3 linked regions of the Xenopus tropicalis genome follow. The protein of the gene in region 2 purifies or fractionates together with the protein of the main gene of each other region. This does not show direct contact. Links are inferred from orthologs where the notes say so. Each region holds a gene or a part of one and is shown on either strand. Other genes may lie near its edges.

Region 1 (3,652 bases), on a different chromosome or scaffold from region 2:
ATTTTCTCCTCCCTCGACCATACGTGCAATGAGCGTCCAGACAGGCAGACACAGCTGTGCTTTACTTACCAGCGCATGGTCAAAGTTGTACGAACTGATGTAATAGGCACTTATGTCTGCGGCTGCCAAAGGTCCAGCAATTTGTGCAACTATTCCGCACTCATCTGCATTAATCAGATTGGAAAGTATTAGTTTTACGGGGGGCACAACAGTAATGGAGTAAGAAATATTTGTCGAGTTAAACTGGAGCCTTAATCCATTTCACAACACCACTCGAAGTAAATTTGGAGCTCCATATTTCTCTGTACAAATCAGGTAACACCTACACCAATATGAAAAAGTTGGTGAAAGTTTTTTGGATTTATTAAAGGAATACTGTCATAGGAAAACATGTTTTTTTCAAAACACATCAGTTAATAGTAATAGTTCTCCAGCAAAATCCTGCATTGAAATCCATTTTTCAAAAAGGCAAACATATTTTTTTAATATTTAATTTTGAATGGGGTTAGCCCTGTCCTTCATTTTTTAGGGTGCTACAGCCATGTGACCTGTGCTCTGCTTGAACTTTTAAAAATTGGATTTCAATGCAGGATTCTGCTGGAGAAGCTCTACTGATGAAAAAAACACGTTTTCCCATGACAGTATTCATTTAAGGTCAGTACCAGCCCTGAGTGAGGCCACAAGATGTGAAATTCACAGTGATTGTCTCAAAGAGATTTCAGTGCAACAGAAATCACATCACTGCTATAGGATTGCATCATATTGTACACTAAGGGCTACAAACCTAAATTGAAATCTGCTTATTTATTCTATTGCAGCCTTTCTAGTCTCTGTAGTGTCCAACCTTCCATAAAAAGAAGCCTTAGGCAAATACATTGTTTAAAAGCATACTGAGCACATTAGGATTGCAGGATGTGACAATTACTAAACTCTGCCATTGCCTCTTGTAAATAGACCTCTGACTAACCCATGTAGCTGGTGACCGCCTGGAGCACCACAGAATTATAGTTTACTAAGAAAAACAACAATACTTTCTAGATGTTTTGATTGGCTCGATTTTGTTATCCTAATTTACATGTATACAGCTTCTCATTTTACATAGGTCTTGTGATTACTCCACCTAGCTTTTATTCGAGAATCATTTCCTGGTTTCGTGGCAGAAAGCATAGAGCGAAATGCGACGCACATAGAAGACATGTTTAGTTAAAAAGACAGCATGCTACATAATGAAATCTGATAATATCATGGAAAAGTTTGGCCAGTTTCCATGTGATCCAGTTGCTGAGCTCACATACTGGATCTTTTTTTATGGCCTTGTCTTCTTCACAAGTTTATGCGTCAGTGGGTTACAACATGGACACTGCCATGGCCAGCCATAGGTTTAATGGCCATCAGCAGCATGACACTGTATTAAGATTTTTAGTTATTCTTTTTTTTCTATTAAGAACTCTGTCAGGAGAAATGAAAGTTCAGATAAACTCACCAAACCCAAGGGGCTGTCCACCAATTCTCACCATCCTCCAAAGTTCCCCAGATGAACTAGTTAAAAGCAAGTCAGTGGGAAATCTGCAACACAAAGAAGCAGACTGTCTGATCTCGGGGAAATCACCAGCACAGATATAATCTAAACCTGTCAATGTTTCCCTTACATAGGAGATAATAATAGTCACTACTGTGCAATTGTGAATTACTGGAATTACTGGGAAAAACAGCCCACTTGAATTAAAGCTGCTCTTATTATTACTTATACAAAATAATGTTACTTATTGATACTTTAAGGTTTATTAACAATTAAAGCAACACAACAAAGTTTAATGAAGAAGAGCCTGTCTGCTCCCCCCAGGTGATGTTATTCTAGCTCGGCCTCTGCAAAGTGGTCAGTGAGCCTATTTTATTTATTTATACAGACAAAATGGAGACGATAAAAGCATATGCTACATTTCCTTTTCTATTAGGGCTATCTGTATTCTTTTCTGGCAGAAATGTGTACAAATCTACTGCCATTTGCCATTACGTTAAGGAGAAACCCATGACAGCAGTGGTAATGGTGCTCTCAGCCCAAAAACACTCACTGGAGCAATAATTGCTAGTTTGCTGGACTATGGATATCCCTTATTGTTTGCTCTACAGGCAGAATTAAATGACTGGGATGCTGGTTTCACTGCCTGGCTAATAACTGGCCAGCTTCAAAAATCCCTAGGTCAATTACTGGATCAGCCCAATTGCAACCTTGACAAACAAGCAAATTTTTACATGTATGCCCAGCTTATAGCACATAAATAATATTCTCCCATTACTCAGGCTAGGTAGTGTAGTGTATTTTTTAGCATTTATGGAATCTATCTATTCCCCTGGATACAGATTCTATTGATGCATGTGTGTTGAGATTTACTCAATTAAAAATAGTCATTACTTTTAAGCAATAACATATAATATTTTCAACCGTGATCTATTAACATTATGCATTGTTTTCAGGTCTAAAATGTTTTGTTTCAATAGTATCCCTTTAAATTGTAATATAATGGTGATGGCTAATTTGTTAAGATAAAATTCCTAGAACTCTGCTCAGCTGTTGCTGAACTACAACTGCCAGAATCCCAATAACAACCATTATCTAAGAGTCACAGGTTGAAGAGCACTGTCTAAAGGTGGCCATACAGGGGCATATTTAAGATGCTGATTCAGGTCCTTCAGTCCGATTCAGTAGATTATCTGCCTGGGGCCTCCTGATCAATATATGTCCAAAAATTGCCCAGATGTGGATTGGGCAGGCTTGATTTTCCTGTTGGATCCTATGAAAAGATCCCTGGAACCCAAAGCTTTACATACTTCTCCTGCGTCTTCGTGTCCATGACTATTGATATATACCCGTCTATCAAGGAGAAGGCAAAAAAGTGAAAGAAGCCCAGATCCTGGGATCCTGCAGCAGTGTCTTTCTGGAAACTGCAAAGAAAATCAACAAGATGTAAGTGAGACAGTTGCTGGAAAGATCATTCCAGAGACTTCACATGAAAGATGATATATATATATATATATATATATATATATATATATATAATGTTCCATATACTAATCAGGCTAAGGTATGGCAGCAACAAGAGCACCTCTGGTAGGGTCCCTCAACACTGGAACAGACACTTACGGGTGGGAGTAGAACAGCACATCCAATAGTATGGTAGAAACAGAAGGAAGGGTATCTGGATCCATTGTCAGGATACAGAACTGGTTCTGGGGACTCTGCACAGGATGCACTGTCAGATTAAATACTGTGGGATAGGAAAAACAAGGTTGTAAAACGAGAGCAGTAAGGCAGTCCTACCTGCAGTGAACTGAATCTACCTAAAGCACTACAAGCACATGTCCTGTCCAATAAGCACTAAGCATATTATACAGAGAGTTTAACATAAACAGATCTTGTAACGAGAAACACAACGGTAATATATCCAACTTGCTTGGACAGTCCCATTCTCTTAAAGAGCTATTAGGAAGTTTTAAAGCATACTGTATAAGATACTGTACGTTCAGCATACCACATCTTATGTCTATGCTCCAGTGCATTAACCTTCTCGGCTGCTCCACACTCACATGGGGGGCAGATTTACTAAAACTCTTAACTTTTCTCATTTTAACTCTCATTTTTTTTTATTTCAGA
Region 2 (4,104 bases):
ACCCTAACCTAGCATGGGCTGCTTACAGAGATATCCCTCACCAACATCGTACTGAGACCTAGCATGGGCTGCTTACAGAGATATCCCTCACCAACATCGTACTTATACCTAGCATGGGCTGCTTACAGAGATATCCCTCACCAACATCGTAGTGAGACCTAGCATGGGATGCTTACAGAGATATCCCTCACCAACATCGTACTGAGACCTAGCATGGGATGCTTTACAGAGATATCCCTCACCAACATCATACTTATACCTAGCATGGGCTGCTTACAGAGATATCCCTCACCAACATCGTACTGAGACCTAGCATGGGCTGCTTACAGAGATATCCCTCACCAACATCGTACTTATACCTAGCATGGGCTGCTTACAGAGATATCCCTCACCAACATCGTACTTATACCTAGCATGGGCTGCTTACAGAGATATCCCTCACCAACATCATACTGAGACCTAGCATGGGCTGCTTACAGAGATATCCCTCACCAACATCGTACTGAGACCTAGCATGGGCTGCTTACAGAGATATCCCTCACCAACATCGTACTTATACCTAGCATGGGCTGCTTACAGAGATATCCCTCACCAACATCGTACTTATACCTAGCATGGGCTGCTTACAGAGATATCCCTCACCAACATCGTACTGAGACCTAGCATGGGCTGCTTACAGAGATATCCCTCACCAACATCGTACTGAGACCTAGCATGGGCTGCTTACAGAGCTATCCCTCACCAACATCGTACTGAGACCTAGCATGGGCTGCTTACAGAGATATCCCTCACCAACATCGTACTGAGACCTAGCATGGGCTGCTTACAGAGATATCCCTCACCAACATCGTACTGAGACCTAGCATGGGCTGCTTACAGAGATATCCCTGACCAACATCGTACTGAGACCTAGCATGGGCTGCTTACAGAGATATCCCTGACCAACATCGTACTGAGACCTAGCATGGGCTGCTTACAGAGATATCCCTCACCAACATCGTACTGAGACCTAGCATGGGCTGCTTACAGAGATATCCCTCACCAACATCGTACTGAGACCTAGCATGGGCTGCTTACAGAGATATCCCTCACCAACATCGTACTGAGACCTAGCATGGGCTGCTTACAGAGATGTCCCTCACCAACATCGTACTGAGACCTAGCATGGGCTGCTTACAGAGATATCCCTCACCAACATCGTACTGAGACCTAGCATGGGCTGCTTACAGATACATTTCTCACCAACCCTGCTAAGACCTATCATGGCCTGATTACAAAGATACCTCTCACCCTATTATACTAAGAGCTCCTGGGGGTTGCTTGCCCCATCATACCTCACATACACTGCTTACACACGTATCTCCTGTACCTTCGCACCTAGACCTGCCATGGGTTGCCTACAGATACCTCTTGAACCCATGATACCGAGACCTGCCATTGGCCGCTTACAGACATATCCCTTACCCTATCATACCGAGACCTGCCATTGGCCGCTTACAGACATATCCCTTACCCTATCATACCGAGACCTGCCATTGGCCACTTACAGACATATCCCTTACCCTATCATACCGAGACCTACCATTGGCCACTTACAGACATATCCCTTACCCTATCATACCGAGACCTACCATTGGCCACTTACAGACATATCCCTTACCCTATCATACCGAGACCTACCATTGGCCACTTACAGACATATCCCTTACCCTATCATACCGAGACCTGCCATTGGCCGCTTACAGACATATCCCTTACCCTATCATACCGAGACCTACTATTGGCCACTTACAGACATATCCCTTACCCTATCATACCGAGACCTGCCATTGGCCGCTTACAGACATATCCCTTACCCTATCATACCGAGACCTGCCATTGGCCGCTTACAGACATATCCCTTACCCTATCATACCGAGACCTGCCATTGGCCGCTTACAGACATATCCCTTACCCTATCATACCGAGACCTGCCATTGGCCACTTACAGACATATCCCTTACCCTATCATACCGAGACCTGCCATTGGCCGCTTACAGACATATCCCTTACCCTATCATACCGAGACCTGCCATTGGCCGCTTACAGACATATCCCTTACCCTATCATACCGAGACCTGCCATTGGCCACTTACAGACATATCCCTTACCCTATCATGCTGAGACCTGCCATTGGCTGCTTACAGACATATCCCTTACCCTATCATACCGAGACCTGCCATTGGCCACTTACAGACATATCCCTTACCCTATCATACCGAGACCTGCCATTGGCCACTTACAGACATATCCCTTACCCTATCATACCGAGACCTGCCATTGGCCACTTACAGACATATTCCTTACCCTATCATACCGAGACCTGCCATTGGCTGCTTACAGACATATCCCTTACCCTATCATACCGAGACCTGCCATTGGCCGCTTACAGACATATCCCTTACCCTATCATACCGAGACCTGCCATTGGCCGCTTACAGACATATCCCTTACCCTATCATACCGAGACCTGCCATTGGCTGCTTACAGACATATCCCTTACCCTATCATACCGAGACCTACCATTGGCCACTTACAGACATATCCCTTACCCTATCATACCGAGACCTGCCATTGGCTGCTTACAGACATATCCCTTACCCTATCATGCTGAGACCTGCCATTGGCTGCTTACAGCCCCCTCTCCCCCTGTCAGTACTGAGCTATACCCCGGCTGCTTCCCTCTCAGCCCTTACCATACCGGGACGTACCCCGGGCTGCTTCCCTCTCAGCCCTTACCATACCGGGACGTAGCTTGGCTGCTCACATCTCTCTATATCACATGTTCTTCCCTACACTTCCACAGCAAACTCTGTAGCACAGTCGCCCCGCCCCCGTGAGGTACAAACTCCAAGTCTCATCACGCGAGACTGGCTTTGCGCGTAACACAGTGACGCAGTACGTAACGCCTTGTGGGCGTGGCTAGCCGACGTTACACGGGCGGAAGTTGCCGTAGCTCCTCTCAGTGTCTGTTTCCTGTGCTGGTACCTCATAGTACAATAAAAAGAATAAAGATTGGTGTGTTGTGTTGGCTGCTGAGTGTCCCCCCAGCTCCCAGTCGCTTTAGGGGTCATTTATATTAAACAGGTTGAACAAGGAGAATTATCGGTGGGTCATACAGGGAGTCAGTCCCATAAAGTCACGTTAATAAACCTGGTGGGTTGGTGATTATCAGTTATTACTCCCTTACTAGATTATATAATCATTTATATCTGGCAGTTTATCAGGTGTAACCGGTCAGTTAACAGTGAATGTGCCAGTTATTAGGGCTACATACATTCTGTGGGACATAAATACCAGCCTTGGTTTGTTGCCCTTTATCCCTATGAGTAATATTGGCAGTGAGTGGCCGGGGCAAGCGTACTTACAGCCACAGTGCCATACCGACCATAACAAGCAATGTGTCGCTAGCGCTGAGTGTTCATTGGCCGCAATGGGGCAGAGTGTGTGCGACTGCCCACCGTGCCCTTACAGGAGACATATAAACATTGGGCACGTACCAGGGAATTATACTCCTCTACATAATACATTGTGTTTCCGCTGATTTATTCCCGCAATACCCCACTAGCCCCGCCCATCTGTGCCACTTCCTGCTGCCTCCTTTCCCAGGCTGTGCAGGGGGGCCGGCGGCACTGTAGGATAGGAACCAATCAGCAGCTAGGCTGACCTGATAGGGGACTGAAGCCTGTCTGTGCTTGTGTGACTGCAGGGCTGTGATTGGCTCTCCCCCTCCTACAGGGACCGTTAGGACACGCCCACCCCTCATGAAACACAGACAGGGACCTGAGAGGATCTATAGGGAGCTCCAATAAAGGGGCCATTGTTACAGATAGGGTTAATGTTTAGCCCAAAGGGAAACCAGCACCGGATATTAATTGCCTACAAGGTTAGGGGTTTCCCTTTATCCTATATGTCTCCTTTAATTCCTTGGTATTTAAATGTAGGGATCCCCAAGTTTAGGCCCCTTAGGTGGGTTCCCGTTTAGACAGGCACTAGAGCAGGGGTGTCAAACTCAATCACACAGGCTAAGTCGCGGGCCAAATTTTTTATTAATATACTTAGTAA
Region 3 (3,652 bases), on a different chromosome or scaffold from region 2:
GGTGGGGCAAAAGACAGAAAAATACTAGTGGGCTTGGACCAGTAATGTATAAAATAGGAGAAAGGGTTGGCAAGAGGGAAACTTCCATGACTTTCCTGCAAAAAGTCCATGCTCCTCATGTTCATTTTTCACTTTGCCGCTCTGCCTAACAAACTGAATATATAGAAGTATGCTAACCAGAGATCCAACAGTAACGACAGTGTAAGCAATGGTTAGAAAAACGAAAGCCAAGCAAGTGCAATAAGAGACAAAAAAAACAGGTGTTGATCAAGGAATATAAACTACCCAAAGACTATAGACCCACTAACATTTCCAGAATAAGAATCTCCACATTAGCAGTGATCTGAAACCTATATCCCTCATTTAGCCAGGTGTCAGCTGCATGCTGAAAACACTTCGGCAACCAGAAGTTGTAAAATAACAAATTGAAGGAAAGGAGGTGCAAATAACATCTCTCATGTACCTATGTGGGACAATACTTAGGAGGTCTGTTCTATAGCAAAAATATTTGCTTCAAAGGTAAACATCAAATGGATAGCAAAAAAAGGTATAGGGCTATAACTGCGTGCAGGTAAATACAATTGTTTAAAGTCTGATAGGAGCTACAGCTCCTCTCACTTCTGCATCTGCTGATGACCTATCCACCTGCTAAGAAGAGACACAGGCAGAATAGGTTTATAGTTTGGAGAAAGTGACTGCAATTACTAGATTACAGCATGGCGTGTTGAAAATGAACCCCAAGCTGCAATGAATGTTTAGGTGATCATGCTGACAAAAAGTAGCCATGTAGGGCCACTTAATGTAGACATCTGTAAAAAAACATACTATTAAAGAGTTAATATTAAAATGCAGGCATACCTTCAGTTCTCTCAATAGTGCCCTTAAGTCTCCCCATATTTCTCCCGTTCAGAGGATCAGAAGCCAAACAGTTAGAAAAAACGCTGAGCTGGGTAGAGAAGATTCCCATAATGCATCCCTCTTCCCCAGACTTGGAGACTCGGGACTATAGGCGGCGCATGCGCACAAACAAGAGGCTCCCCCTAGCGTCTGGTTGGCATGGCAACCCCAGCACTTACACAGCAGCAGCATGAGTATGAGACACAGCGGCAGAATGAACATGAGACACAGCGGCAGAATGAACATGAGACACAGCGGCAGGTAGGGGGAGAGGCAAGAAGGGTGCCGGGTAGATCAAGTGAACAAACAAAGCGATGGTGGCGCTGTTCACTGCAAGTAACGTTAGAAGCCTGTACGAGGATCTAAGCGCCACCGGGGGGGGGGGGTGCTGACAAGAGGAGCACACAAGCTGACAATTGGAGCACACAAACCGGCGGTGGTTACACATAAGGACGCAGCTGCTGGGGGGGAGACACAGAAGGACGCAGGGGGAGGGGGGGCCTCCTTTGTTAAAGATGGCGGCGCCATTCACTGAAAAATGTAGAATGTAGCAGGGCATTCTCTGTAAATCTTTCATTAGGCAAGCCAGAATTATAGCATTTTTACATAGCAATAGTAGTACTATTCAATAGTGTGCTTAATAGATTTTGACTTTCCTTCTCCTTTAATAACCAATATGCCTTACTGAGCTGCAAAAATATTTATACAGTGTACCACATCCAACACACCAGAGTGGCTGGAAGAATTCTTCCAGCGAGAATCCTGTGCTGCATATGTTAAGAAAGAAAGCTCTGACATTTACCTTTGACTTCAAAGTATTTACACAATTTTATTATATGTCAGCATGTGAACTCTGTCGAGACATGTCCTAGATATCCTGATTCACCCCAATATCTTGGAAAAGTTCTCAGAAGAGCGACTATTTTGCCCATAGGATTGTGTCACTTATAATAGATTATAAAATAAATAAAAACATTAAGCATGCCAACATATAATAGGGTCATTCACCACAGATGAGGGCTAAACAAAAATCATATTCATTACCAAGCACTTTTTAATTAGAAACTGAGTGATAGAAATACTTAAGGCAATTGATTATGAGTTTAAAAGGGAACTCTGGCTTCCGAACCAAAATTTGAAAAAAAGCCCCACACAACAAAGAAACCCCCAATTGACCTATCCCTGTAATTTGTTTCTTCAAAAAGTGTGAATAAATACCATTTTTATATGCTAAAATACAACTGCAAAATAGTTCTTCTCTTTCTGCATCATTTAAAATCCTGCATGGGTAGGAGGGACTAAAACAGTGATGTTACAAACTGTAACAACTTCTCCACAGCTTACAGACACCATGCAGGAACTTCATAATCCACAATGCTTTGCAATGCAATTTTTCTTACTAACATCAAATGTGCAGAGATTTGGAGGATTAGACTGAAGGCAGGCTGAGGACAATCAACTACTGTTGCATTTTTTTTGAGTCTCAAAGTAGTCAGCCAGATCAGCAGGAGAACAGAGAGATAGGCTTAGGTAGCTGTTCAAACCATATTATTACATTAAAATCATGAAAAGGCTGCATATTTTATAATTAATGTATAATACAAAGTTGCTTGAAATTAAGCTTAAATTATGTTTGGGTGGAGTTCCCCTTTAGGTTGTATTGCCAAAACTTGTATTTTCATCAAAATGTGGTGTTACTTAAATTTTAGCTTCCACTAACAAAATACACCAGTCTCTAGGACCCCAAGTAACCAACAGGAAACCTAGGATACACTGTCCTGCTGGGTTAGGTGATTAAGTCAAATAAAAACACCTTTTCCACTTTAATCTGGAGTGCTGGATTCACTATGCAGTAACTACCTGAAATGGGTCATTGCTTACTTGTATCCTCAGACAAAAAGTAAGCACCTAAAGTAGCTTCTACAAATACTGTCTGGGTGGGTCACTAGATGCTTGCATGTACAGTGGCACAGAGTCCTTTGCAATGAGCTTCGCCTAAAGGGAAGCAAATAATTAAAAGTCTGTGTCTTCTATGATTTTATAATACTGGCAGCTAAAATAAGTGAAGCAAACTGGGAATCAAATACAGTACTAACTTGCTTTCTGTCAAACTACTTAAAATATATAAACAAATAACAGCTCATATTTGAAGCAGGAACATCCATTAAGAACAAGCTTAGAAAAAAATGACATGTTTTAATTTACTGAGGCAAATTACAGTACTGTTTACATACCGAATTCCAGCAAACTCCACTTTCTGAGTTATGTAAGCACAGGAGCTGACCTGAGGTGCAAAGGTAGTAAAGTTAGTATAGAGAAATAATTTCTTTTGCAAAAGTTATTAATGTTTCCAAAACCTACCAAACTCTTTTTTAGCCTCCACATATCTCCACGACCTATATACTGGTCCTTAAATGTTAACTCCACAAGATCAAGAGTCACATCCTAGAAAGTCAGAAAGAATTTTTTAAACTTTGTTAGGTATCAGGAAAATGCTTTAACCAGTTTTTCTCAAACTGTGAAGCCAGTGTCTCACTTGTGATGCTCATTTCAAAATCTGCTGAGGTTAAAGATGATGCTACAAAGAATTCCCAAGCACTTATTATTGCTCTATATAGTTTGAAATGATTCATTTACATAGTAACATAGTAAGTTAGCTTGAAAAAAGACACACATCCATCAAGTTCAACCTTCATGCCTATATATAACCTGCCCAAATGCAACTAACTTATTTTCTTTAATTGTGTGGCAAAAT

Evidence for each region. Proteins that work in one complex are often made in the same cells at the same time.
Region 1: the proteins of wdr24 (region 2) and castor1 purify together in Homo sapiens (affinity purification with mass spectrometry; 3 studies listed by BioGRID and IntAct, counting the BioPlex papers as one, with this or other methods). This does not show direct contact. The link is inferred for Xenopus tropicalis from reciprocal best matches to the Homo sapiens genes WDR24 and CASTOR1.
Region 3: the proteins of wdr24 (region 2) and depdc5 purify together in Homo sapiens (affinity purification with western blotting; 4 studies listed by BioGRID and IntAct, with this or other methods). This does not show direct contact. The link is inferred for Xenopus tropicalis from reciprocal best matches to the Homo sapiens genes WDR24 and DEPDC5.

Annotation. Positions count from the first base shown.
Region 1 is NC_030677.2:144,424,996-144,428,647, reverse strand, and holds part of castor1 (GATS-like protein 3), read right to left. Parts: intron 3,267-3,652; coding exon 3,143-3,266; intron 2,944-3,142; coding exon 2,830-2,943; intron 1,567-2,829; coding exon 1,484-1,566; intron 165-1,483; coding exon 70-164; intron 1-69. UniProt on the Homo sapiens protein: Functions as an intracellular arginine sensor within the amino acid-sensing branch of the TORC1 signaling pathway. As a homodimer or a heterodimer with CASTOR2, binds and inhibits the GATOR subcomplex GATOR2 and thereby mTORC1.
Region 2 is NC_030685.2:93,170-97,273, forward strand, and holds the start of wdr24 (WD repeat-containing protein 24), read right to left. Parts: upstream 2,838-4,104; 5' UTR 2,779-2,837; intron 1-2,778. UniProt on the Homo sapiens protein: Catalytic component of the GATOR2 complex, a multiprotein complex that acts as an activator of the amino acid-sensing branch of the mTORC1 signaling pathway. The GATOR2 complex indirectly activates mTORC1 through the inhibition of the GATOR1 subcomplex.
Region 3 is NC_030677.2:152,202,197-152,205,848, reverse strand, and holds part of depdc5 (GATOR complex protein DEPDC5), read right to left. Parts: intron 3,343-3,652; coding exon 3,259-3,342; intron 3,182-3,258; coding exon 3,132-3,181; intron 1-3,131. UniProt on the Homo sapiens protein: As a component of the GATOR1 complex functions as an inhibitor of the amino acid-sensing branch of the mTORC1 pathway.